Oryctolagus cuniculus: one gene and its partners. The protein of the gene in region 2 interacts with the protein of the main gene of each other region in a biochemical or structural test. Links are inferred from orthologs where the notes say so. Each region holds a gene or a part of one and is shown on either strand. Other genes may lie near its edges. The genes, in order: CSTA, CTSB and CSTB.

The links.
Region 1: the proteins of CTSB (region 2) and CSTA form a complex in vitro, tested with the Homo sapiens proteins (3 studies listed by BioGRID and IntAct, with this or other methods). The link is inferred for Oryctolagus cuniculus from reciprocal best matches to the Homo sapiens genes CTSB and CSTA.
Region 3: the proteins of CTSB (region 2) and CSTB form a complex in vitro, tested with the Homo sapiens proteins (2 studies listed by BioGRID). The link is inferred for Oryctolagus cuniculus from reciprocal best matches to the Homo sapiens genes CTSB and CSTB.

Annotation. Positions count from the first base shown.
Region 1 is NC_091435.1:78,535,626-78,539,369, reverse strand, and holds the start of CSTA (cystatin-A), read right to left. Parts: upstream 2,757-3,744; 5' UTR 2,519-2,756; intron 1-2,518. UniProt on the Homo sapiens protein: This is an intracellular thiol proteinase inhibitor. Has an important role in desmosome-mediated cell-cell adhesion in the lower levels of the epidermis.
Region 2 is NC_091433.1:42,699,540-42,703,183, forward strand, and holds part of CTSB (cathepsin B), read left to right. Parts: intron 1-494; 5' UTR 495-519; coding exon 520-645; intron 646-1,077; coding exon 1,078-1,163; intron 1,164-2,028; coding exon 2,029-2,143; intron 2,144-3,322; coding exon 3,323-3,441; intron 3,442-3,644. UniProt on the Homo sapiens protein: Thiol protease which is believed to participate in intracellular degradation and turnover of proteins. Cleaves matrix extracellular phosphoglycoprotein MEPE. Involved in the solubilization of cross-linked TG/thyroglobulin in the thyroid follicle lumen.
Region 3 is NC_091435.1:2,393,760-2,397,503, reverse strand, and holds the start of CSTB (cystatin-B), read right to left. Parts: upstream 2,882-3,744; 5' UTR 2,790-2,881; coding exon 2,724-2,789; intron 602-2,723; coding exon 500-601; intron 1-499. UniProt on the Homo sapiens protein: This is an intracellular thiol proteinase inhibitor. Tightly binding reversible inhibitor of cathepsins L, H and B.

The DNA of each region.
Region 1 (3,744 bases), on a different chromosome or scaffold from region 2:
TCTCACTGGGGAATTCTGAGGTGAGAATGAGCAGCAGCTCTCGTTGGATTGATATGTATGTTCAAATCTGGGTTGGCCTCAACTGGTGAGCAAAGTTTGCCTACAAGTCAGTCGTGTAGACCCTCTGAAATGCCGCTGTGTGGTGACCTCCAGGGCAGCCGTCAAAGCCCCCCCCCCCTTTTTTTTTGACAGGCAGAGTGGACAGTGAGAGAGAGAGAGACAGAGAGAAAGGTCTTCCTTTGCCGTTGGTTCACCCTCCAATGGCCACCACGGCCGGTGCGCTGCAGCCGGCGCACCGCGCTGATCCGATGGCAGGAGCCAGGTGCTTCTCCTGGTCTCCCATGGGGTGCAGGGCCCAAGCACTTGGGCCATCCTCCACTGCACTCCCTGGCCACAGCAGAGAGCTGGCCTGGAAGAGGGGCAACCGGGACAGAATCCGGCGCCCCGACTGGGACTAGAACCCGGTGTGCCGGCGCCGCAAGGTGGAGGATTAGCCTATTGAGCCACGGTGCCGGCCAAAGCCCTTTTAACTCGTGAGTCAGCTGTCTTGTCCAGGAAAAATCATAATTGGGTAATCTTATGGTTATTTACTGCTTAGCCCACCAGCTTTCCAATGGATCTATCTGCTCAGAGAGGAAGAGGAACACATGAAAAATGCCTCCTGGGGCTGGCGTTGGGGCACAGCAGGTTAAGCCACTATTTGTGATGCCAACAGCACAGATTGGAGCGCCAGTTCGAGTCCCAGCTACTTCCCTTCCAATCTAGCTCCCTGCTAACGCACCTGGGAAAGCAGCCAAGGATGGTCAAAGTGCTTGGGCCCCTACCATCCACTTGGGAGACCCAGAAGAACTTCTGGCTCCTGGCTTTGGCCTGGCCCAGTGCTGGCCATTGTGGCCATCTGAGGAGCAAACCAGTCGACAGAAGATCTCTGTCTCTTTGTCCCTCCCACCCTCTGTCACTCTACCTTTCAAATAAATAAAATGAGTCTTCAAAAATGCCTTTAATTACAGCACAGGAAGTGTCTGCACTGGGACCAACTCTGTCTGGAGAGCTGGAGAAAGAATCCGAGAAGAGGCACTTGGGGTGGGCCTTGGAGGAGCTTTTTAGCTCTTCTGTGATTCTCTGTTACTCAAATTTTTTTAAAAGAATTACAGCTTTACTGCAGTATAATTGACTTAAAATAAATTATATATTTAAAATGTTCAGTTGCATAACTCCTGACTTATATGTAAATGCAGACATACATAGATACCACAGTCATTCCCAAGTTTCTTCACTCCTTGTTGTAATCGCCAACTCCCCCTGCCCTGCCCTGGCCCGGGCTTCTCTACACCCTCCTTCCCCAAGGAAGCACTAATCTACTTACTATCATTAATCAAAAAGTTTACCATTTGAGAGGCACACACACACACACAGAGGGAGAGCGAATGACTCCATTCCGGGGGTTCACTCTGTAAATGCCCACAACAGCTGTAGCTGGAAACCGAGAGCTGGGAACTCTGTCCAGGTCTCCCACGTGGGAGGCAGGGACCCTAGTACTTGAGCCATCACCTGCTGCCTGCCAGGGTCTACACTGTTAGGAAAGAGGAGTCAGAAGCCAGAGTCTGGACTTGAACGCTGATGCGGGACACAGGTGTTAACTGGTGTCTTAACTGCCAGCCCAGGTGCCCGCTTCGCTCCGTGTTCTTTATATGAATGGCATCAAACAGTGTGGCCTCTCTTTGTGTGTGGCTTCTTTCACCTGACAGTTTTGAGGTTCGTCTATATTGTTGCAAGTATTAATACTATTGTTGAGTAGGATTTTGTTCAAGTGGTATCAGTATACCCCAGTGTATTTTTTCACCTGCTGATGAACATTTGGGTTGTTTTCAGTTTTTGGTTATTAAAGTAATGCTGTTATAAACGTTCCCAAACAAGTTTTTTTTTTAAGATTTATTTTATTTTTATTTTAAAGGCAGAGATAGACAGAGGTAGAGGCAGACACAGAGAGATCTTCCATCCACTGGTTCACTCCCCAGATGGCTGCAATGGCTGGGGCTGGGTCAGGCCAAAGCCAGGAGCCAGGAGGATTACAAAGCTCAGGCCCTCCCGGTCATCCTCAGAGCAGACCAGGGTCCTGCAGGGGACAGAGGAGCCAGCCTCTGAAGAGGGGCTGGGGCAGGTGTGGACTGAGGGCTCCAGTATCAGAGCTGTGACCAACGGGTGTCTGATCAGGCCCAGGCCTGCGCGGTGACTTTTGAAGAAGAGGAGGAGGAAGGCAAGGAGGGCTCCGTGGAGAGTAAGGGGCGTGCAGGTGTGCCAGCCGCTCTCCAGGGGTGTCTGCATGTTAGAAATACACACAAGAGCTTGCGAGGTGGTTGGTGGGTGGCTGCCTGTGGCCACTCGTAGGCATCCGGGGTCGGGGGCACTCCTGGGACTAGGATCTCTGCTCCAGCCAGTTTCTATACACAAGACCCCTGGACTCCAGTTTTATACAATCCCTCCACCCCCACATTCCCGCAGAGGTTTTCAAACGTACCTGGAGAGGCGCTGAAGGTTTCTCAGAGTTCCCCCGGCGGCCGGAGGTCAGAGGAAACGGGGAAGAGGAAAGAGCAGGTGGCCCCGGGGGCTCTGCCTCTGTCCTGCACTCCCACCACGTTGGCCCGGCCTCGCACAAACCGGCTGGGGGGAAGAGGAAAGCCTGCGTTTCCCAGAATTCCTGTAGAGGGCGCTCTCCGAGAATTTTCTCATCAGGCCCCTGCGGGTTGGAAACTGAAACCCCGTGACCAGGGTGTCTGCTGGCTTTCTGGCTTGGCAAAAGCAAAGTGTTTGTTTTGCCTTCAGAGGGCGGAGAGACTTGCAGCCGGGAAGGTGGTAGGAGGGCCAGGCTGGACTCCATGATGAGACCCGGCCCTGTGACCCCACAGCTGCAGGAATTTGGCAGAAGTCTCTGAATTCTGGGCCTACGGGGATGCTTGGTGAGGAGGGGCTTGATGCGCTCTGTCAGCGTTCCCTGCCTGGACTGACGTGGAGCAGAACGCGTACTGGAAGCCCTGAGGGTGAGCCCCGGGAGCAGAGCCAGCCCGTGGGGGCGGTGGAGGAGCAGGTGGCTCCAACCACTTCTGATTGGCTGGGCGTTCCTGGGTTCCCCCTTGGGTTACGCATGTTTTGGGATTCCAAGGGGAATTCTTTTCCTTCCTTTTAAAAAATTGAAGTATAGTTTATGTGTGGTAAAATGCGCAACTTTTAGGTGATCAGCTTAGTGCCTCATTTTTGCAGTTGTCCACCCATGCAATCAGTTGTAAATGTCTCCATCATTCCAGAAAATTCCCTCATGCCCCTTCTCATCCAGTGCCATCCACTCAACCACTAGTTTTGCCTGTTTTTATACTTCCTATAAGTGGAATCAGGTTGTGGTTTGGTTTCATTTACTCAGAATAATGTTTGAGATTCATCCGTGTTGTTAGATTTATCAGTACCCTGTTCTTTTTGTTATGTAGTATTCTTGTGTATGAATATAGCATGTTTGATTATTTAGCATCCTGTTGGGAGCATTGGATGTTTTGTTTGTTTTAGGTGATTTTGAATAAAACCACTGTGAAGTCGTTGCTCTTGGCCATATATCTGGGGATAGAAATTCTGGGACTTAGGGAAGGTGTGTGTTTAACATTGTTAGACATTGCCAAACAATTTCCAATAGGGTTGAGCCATTTTAAATGCCACCAACACAGAGCAGTTAAGATGCTGCTTGGGACACCTGCATCC
Region 2 (3,644 bases):
CCTGCTCTGTGCCCCAGTCGGCACGAGGGCCGGCACTCCGGGGCCTGTGCGCGTTTTGTCGAGAACGGTGCACGCGTCTTACTTTCTCTCAGATTTCTCCTCCCCTAGGTCATGATCACACAGTTTCAGATCTCTCACTGGGGAAAAGTCTCAACCTTTGTTCTGCAGATCTGAAAATAGAGCAGGCCCTGGACTCAGTGTAGCTGCAGCACAGCCCAGGGCTTTCCCGCTCCTGGCTCCGGCACACCCGGCACAGACAGGGCTTTGCACGTGGCTCTGTGCACCAGGCACAGTTAGGGACTTTGCGTGGCCATGAGGCTGGGAGCCCATGGACATCCCTGGTCCTTGAGGGTTCTCTGCTCTTCAGTCACCTAGGGGGGAACGGGCAGGGGCGGGGCCAGGACAGGTGTGCGCCAAGACTGCGCCCTATGATCAGAGCAAGGGAGCCCAGTGGGGGAGAAGCAGCCTGATGTTTGCTGTTCCATCTTTGGCAGGTGCATCAAGGATCTGTCTTCCAGAATGTGGCGACTCCTATCCCCTCTCTGCTGCCTGCTGGCACTGACCAGTGCCTGGAGCGACTCCCATCTGCACCCGCTGTCGGATGAGCTGGTCAACTTCATCAACAAGCAGAACACGACGTGGCAGGTGGGCCGGGGGCTGCTCCCAGCCTGGGTCCGCTCCGCGGGTTTATCTGCACACGGATCCCCAGGAAAGAGACGCCTGCTGTGGCCACAGGACTATGTCCTGGGCAGTTGAAGCTCGGGACCGGGCCCTTGACCTCCCATCCTGAGCACTGTGTGTTGGGGGGCGTGTGTGTGTGCGTGTGCACGTGTGGGAGTAAGCAAGCCTCAGGAGTGTCCACAGCCAGGGAGGTCCCGTGCTGCTTCATCGGTACCAGCCCCTGTGTTCGGGGTTGGGAGGTTCTGTCTTCTTGCCAGCAAATGGTGGCGATGAGAGGTCCGAGGGTCACTCCAGCCATCCCCCAGCTGTGCAGGACCCCTGGCCTTCCCACGCCGGCTTTCAGAGGAGGCAGCACCCATCTGCTGCTGGGTGACTGAGAGGGTGGCTCTCTTCCAGGCCGGGCACAACTTCTTCAACGTGGAGGTGAGCTACCTCAAGAAGCTGTGCGGCACCTTCCTGGGAGGGCCCAAGCTGCCCCGCAGGTGAGTGCCCTGGGAGAGCCCCGGGGAGGGAAGCAGGAGAGGGAGAAGGCCCCCAGGCCTCGATGGCCCCCAGGGCTGCAGAGGCCATGTGAAGTAAGGGCTGCCCTGGGAAGCTGGATTGGCCCAGAGCAGAGCCCGGGGGGGGGGGGGGGGGGGCAGGTGTGACAGGGAGGTCCAGGTCTGCTGGAACTCAACCTTGGAAAATTTAAGGCGAAACCTAAGAAAAGCTACGTGATCTCCCGTTAATGCTTTTTTTCTAGCAAACTGCAGTGCACATTTTCACACAGATGCTACTCTTGAACAAGCATCAGGCGTCTCCCCAAGGCCGGGGTAGTTGAGTGAGGGGAGACCACACCGTCATCTGATGGTGGTACTTATGGTGATATATCAGGGACCTGGGCAGCTGTTTATGCCTGGGAGCAGGGGAAACAGGAAACCCTGTGTCTGAGACCCTTGAAACTCCCAGGTAGTAAGTCTAGAAGGAAGCAGACAATGCAGAGAGAGAGGTCTTCCATCCGCTGGTTCATTCCCCAGTTGGCCTCAATGGCCAGAGCTGCACTGATCCGAAGCCAGGAGCCAGGAGCCAGGAGCTTCTTCTGGGTCTCCCTCATGGGTGCCGGGGCCCAAGGACTTGGGCCATCCTCCACTGTTTCCCCAGGCCATAGCAGAGAGCTGGATCAGAAGAGGAGCAGCTGGGACTAGAACCGGCGTCCATATGGGATGCCTGCGCTTCAGGCCAGGGCTTTAACCTGCTGCGCCACAACGCCGGCCCCAGCCAGCTGCTCTTAAGCCAGGCAGCCTCTGCAGGGAGGCAGGGCACGAGCTATGAGATGAGGGCTTCTGATAAAGACCTTTCCTTCCCCAGAGTTGAGTTCGCTGATGACATAAAACTGCCTGAGAGCTTCGACGCGCGGGAACAGTGGCCGAACTGTCCAACCATCAAGGAGATCAGAGACCAGGGGTCCTGCGGCTCTTGCTGGGTAAGCCCCTGATGCCTGGGGCGGGCGTCGGGCACAGGGGGCGGGGTCAGTGATCCCGGGGTTAGGATCAGACCAGCCTGTGACAAGGCCAGCATGTAAGCTTTCAGCATCTCCGTTTCCATCCATTAAAAAAAATCATCAGGTGCCTCTGGTTGGTTGTGAGTTCTCGCCAGGATTAGGTGGTACGACGGATGGGCGAAGCATGCTGCACACCAGCAGTCCCGAGCGCCTGGGTTGTGTAGCTGGTTTCCTTGCTGTCACACGCTGGCTGGCCTGTCAGCAAGTACCAGTGCCTCTGACCGCTGCTCCGCTCCGTGAAAGTGCCCCATCTGTGCAACGCGCTATCTTGATTTTGTTTAATTGTGGCACGGGGTGGCCAAATGTAGCCATCAGAACCATTTGTTAAATGCACAGTCCGGTGGCCTTAAGTGCCTTTCCAGTGTTTTTTTTTTCTTTTTTTTTTTTTTAAGATTTATTTATTTATTTGAAAGGCAGAGTTACACAGAGGCAGTGGCAGAGACACAGAGAGAGAGAGGTCTTCCATCTGCTGGTTCACTCCCCAAATATGGCTGCAATGGCTAGAGATGGGCTGATCCAAAGCCAGGAGCCAGGAGCTTCTTCCGGGTCTCCCATGCAAGTGAAGGGGCCCAAGGACCTGGACCATCTTCCACTGTTTTCCCAGACTATTAGCAGAGAGCTGGATTGGAAGTGGGGCAGCCGGGACTCAAATCGGCACCCATATGGGATGCCGGCACTGCGGACGGCGGCTTTACCTGCTGCACCACAGCGCTGGCCCCAGCCTGCCCAGTGTTGAGTAACCATCTCCATGCCCAGCGACCCCTGCTCCCCAGGTCCCGGCAGGCCCCACTGTGGTTCCTGTTTCTGTGAGTTTGACAATGCCAGGGCTTCCTCTAAGTGAAAGCACATGGTGCTGGCCTTCTGCGTGAGCTGTGTTTTACGTTGGACACACAAGCTACTGTCTCGGAAACGAATGGAATTCCCTAGCGGAGGTTTAAGGTGGTCTCCTACGGTACAGCTGAGTCGGAGCCCACCTGCTCATCGGCAGATATACCAAGAGATGGGCCCCCCAAGAAGGTCTGCAGCCCCCCCAGGTGACAGCTGGAGCTGGCCACCGGCCAGGGAGGCGGCCTCCTCAGCCCATGGCGCTTGTTCCTACAGGCTTTCGGGGCCGTGGAAGCCATCTCCGACCGGATCTGCATCCACACCAACGGGCACGTGAATGTGGAGGTGTCGGCGGAGGACATGCTCACCTGCTGCGGCGGCCAGTGTGGAGACGGGTGAGTCCGCGGCGGGGCGCATAGGGTGCCTGGTGCAGGGAAGCGGTGCTCCGTCGAGTCAGAAGGCATGGGAGAGCCGGCAGGGCTCCCAGAGTCCTAGCGAAACTGGGTCTCATAACCTCGCTGAAGGCTCTGGGCCCGGTGCCCCTGTCTCCTGGCCGTGCTCTGGGGAGCAGCTAGAACTTCTCACAGTGGCTCTGACT
Region 3 (3,744 bases), on a different chromosome or scaffold from region 2:
CCCCCAGGAGCCGCCCAGCCCACGCCCCCAGGCGCCCGCGCCCCCAGGAGCCGCCCAGCCCATGCCCCCATGCCCCCAGGAGCCGCCCGGCCCACGAACTCACGCGCCGAGCCTGCAGGAGCCGCTCGGCACACAATACCCACGCGCCCGCGCCCCCAGGAGCCGTCTGGCCCACGCCCCCATGTGCCCGCGCCCACACGAAGGTTTGTCAGGCCCTGGCAGCTGGGCTGGGTGCAGCCGCTGCGTCTGCCTTCCAGTGCAAAGTCCCTACACACCCCACACTCACTCCTGCCACACCCACTCTGACACTAGACTTGGGGGCAAGCACCCTTGGGCTGGGCAGCCACATGAGCCCCCATTCAACACCTCTGCCCTGGCCACAGGGCCACACCCCAGGGCCCGCACCCTCTCCTGGCCAGCCCTCCCGGCCCACACCCGCTCCTGGCCAGCCCTCGCGGCCCGCACCCGCTCCTGGCCTGCCCTCCCGGCCCACACCCACCTTGATGAAGTAGTTGGTCCCTGCGACCACCTGGCTCTTGAACGACATGGCCTTAAAGACGTCGAACTTGCAATTTTCCTTCTCTTCCAGCTGGGCTTTCACCTGGGGAGGGAGCGTGGGGAGGGCTCAGCGGCCCCCTCCGTGGGACCGCACGCCCGCGAGTGGACGGCCCATTCCGCCCCCGGAGGGACTGCAGAGGCTACGGCACTGCTCACTGCGGACAGCTGGCCGCGAAGCCTGTCACACTCACCACGTACACCGCCTTCTACGTTATTCTAATGTCATCTCGGACTTAATCTTCCACTTCACACATTACCTTGTTTTGGCTTTTTTTTCTTTTTTAAGTTTATTTGAAAAGCACAGTCATAGAGAGGAAGAGAGAGGTCTTCCATCTGCTGGTTCACTCCCCAAATGGCCACAAGCGCTGGGGCTGGGCCCGGTGGAAGCCAGGAGTCTGGAGCTCCATCCAGGTCTCCCATGTGGGTGCAGGGGCTCAAGGACTTGACCCCAACGGCCAAGTCCCTGCATCAGCAGGGAGCTGGATCAGAAGTGGAGCAGCCGGGACTCGAACCCAAGCTCATGAGGAGGCCAGCACCACAGGCAGCCGTTCAAGCTGCTGCACCGGGAAGCAGCCCCCCTTAGTTCTCGTAACCATTCCCTGGCTGTGTGCGTCCAGCTGGGGTAACCTGCAGTAACAGGTAAGGCAGCGCTGTGGCAGAGCGGGTAAAGCCAGCACCTGAGTGCCAGCATCCCATATGGGCGCCAGTTCGAGTCCCGGCTGCTCCACTCCTGATCCAGCTCTCTGCTGTGGCCTGGGAGAGCAGTGGATGATGGCCCAGTGCCTGGGCCCCTGCGCCCGCATGGGAGACCCGGGAAAGGCTCCTGGCTTCGGATCAGTGCAGCTCCAGCCGTCGCAACCATTTGGGGAGTGAACCATCCATGGAAGATTCTCTAACTGTGCCTTTCAAATAAGCAAACCAATCTTTCTAAAAACGCACTGTATCTGCACTGAGATGATCTCTAGCCCACAGCCCTCGCCTCGGGGGCGACATCGGAGTCCCGCGCGGTTCAGCCCTGGCTCCCAGGGTCGGCCTTCGCAGGTGAGCCTGGTGACCGGGGTGGGAAGAGGGAGTCCAGCTTTGCTTTTCCTTTAGACTTAAACCTGCAGTCCGATGCTGCTTGTCCAGCTCAACTGGGGGCCTCGGCCACGTGAGCTGTCCAGCGACACACAGTGGTCCCAGGGGATTAGCGGTGTCCACGGGAAAAACCAGACACGGCGGAGAGCGGGCCCCAGGGAGCACGCTGCACCAGAAACACGGAGGCCGGTGTAGCAGGCCAGGAGTGGCCAGGGCAATCTGATCCCAGGCACGGTCCCCTGCAGTGCCTCACCCTCGCTGGGGACAGCACGCCGGGGCAGGATGGCTGGAGAGCTGGGGGTGGGAGAAGGCCCTGTCCTCATGCTGGCTTCTTGCTGCACGGGGCCAGAGCCCGCCTCCCTCTCCACACAGGAGCTGTGCTGCACCTGTGGGACCCACAGGCCAGTGGCCAGCCCTCGGGGTGGGAGGGTGGCCACTGCCTCCCCGCCCACGCTGGAGTTTGCAAACGACGTGGGAAGGAAGGACTTGCAGGGGCCGAAAATGCCAGGGCTGGTCACTCGTGTGGAGGGCGGCTCCCGGCCGGACTTTGTCCAGGAAGCGCAGGTGAGCAGTCCGGGTGCCGGGTCAGGCTCAGGGACCCCGGCTTGGAACTGATACCCCGGGAGCAGCAAAGAGGGCTCACCCAGGGCACCCCCAGCCAGAGGACCTCACAGCTGCACCTGCCGCCCCGCGACCACAGGCCAGCGGCTCCTCCTAGGGGACCGGCAGCTGCCCACTCCCAGCGCAGGAAGAACCGACCCCACACTCGCGGGGAGAGAGGCAGGGGAGGGAGGCAGGGCTTCCGGGCCGTGGCCGGGGCCCGCGAATCGGGGCAGACTCCCCATAGTCAGAGGCCGGGGCGCCGACGCACCGCCCGGCCCTGTGGTCACCTGGGCGGCCCCACCTCCGCCGCCCGCGAGGGGCAGGGCCCGGGAGCGAGTGGGTCTGGGGTCCCTCTCCCGGCTGGCTCGAGGAGGCTGGGGCCGGCCGGCCACGGGATCCGAGTCGACCCCTGCTCCGTCTACACAGGCGCGGCGGCTCCGAGGCCTGCCCCTCGAAGCCCGGACACGCGCGTCCTCGCGGCTCACCTGGTCGGCGATGTCCTGGGTCTCGGCGGTGGCGGGCTGCGCGGGGGAAGGCGCTCCGCACATCATCGTGGCGACGCTGACAGCGAGCCGAGCCGCACCGCCAAGTATACCTGCGGCCCCTCCCGCCCGCGGGGCGCGGCGGTCACGTGACGCGCGGGCCGAACCACGGCGCGGCTCGGGGGAGTGCGGCCGCCGCGCGGTCCCGGCGCCCCCAGTCGCAGCCGCGCCGGCCGGGCCGAGCCGGAGCCAGGGCCGAGACCCGGTGCGGGAGGAGAACTTGGCCGTGCCCTCTGCCGCGGGTTCTGGCTCTGGAGTTGGGGCGGGGTATCCGGCAGGGAGCGTCCCCCCCACGCCGGGTTGGTGTCGCCCTGAGCCCGGCGGCCGAGTCACGAGGAGAGGGTGGGGGCGTGATTTCCCGAGGTGCCCCGCCCAGGAGGCGTGACGCTGCGGCCTGGCCGGGGTCGGGTGGGTGGGGGTCCTGGCTCCTGTACGAGTGTGGGAAACTCTGCGGGCACAGGTTCTTCGCTCTGCGGGGAGGGGCGGGCCCTGCCGGGGGCGGTGGCAGGTCCGGTCCCAGTGAGAGTGGGCTGGGCATGGGGGAGCCTGGAGGGTCCCGGCTGCGGTGGTGGGTGGGCCCAGCCAGCAGGACCCTGGGTGAGGCGATCTAGCGAGGCCTGGACCTTCGGGCCCCGTTGAGGGGTTCTGGCATGGGGACCCCGGCCGACCTGGGAGAGCTGGGCTGCAGTGGACATCGGTGGGTGATGGCGATACAGGGAAGGGCTGAGTGGGCCCGCAGAGGGGCGGGGTTCCGGTGCTGGCTGCAGGGGGAGGGAGGGGCCCCAACCCTGTCCGGGCAGGGGTGGGGTCTTGCTAGAATCCCCCCATCCCGTGCCTGAGGCCTTTCCCAGCCCCTGTCCTGGGCTCCCTGGCCCTCCTGGGAGTCAGGGTGGGTGTGGACAGGTGGCCTTCCGGCACCTGCTGGGCGCAGCCAGGCGGTGACTCCAGGGAGGGAAGGGTCATA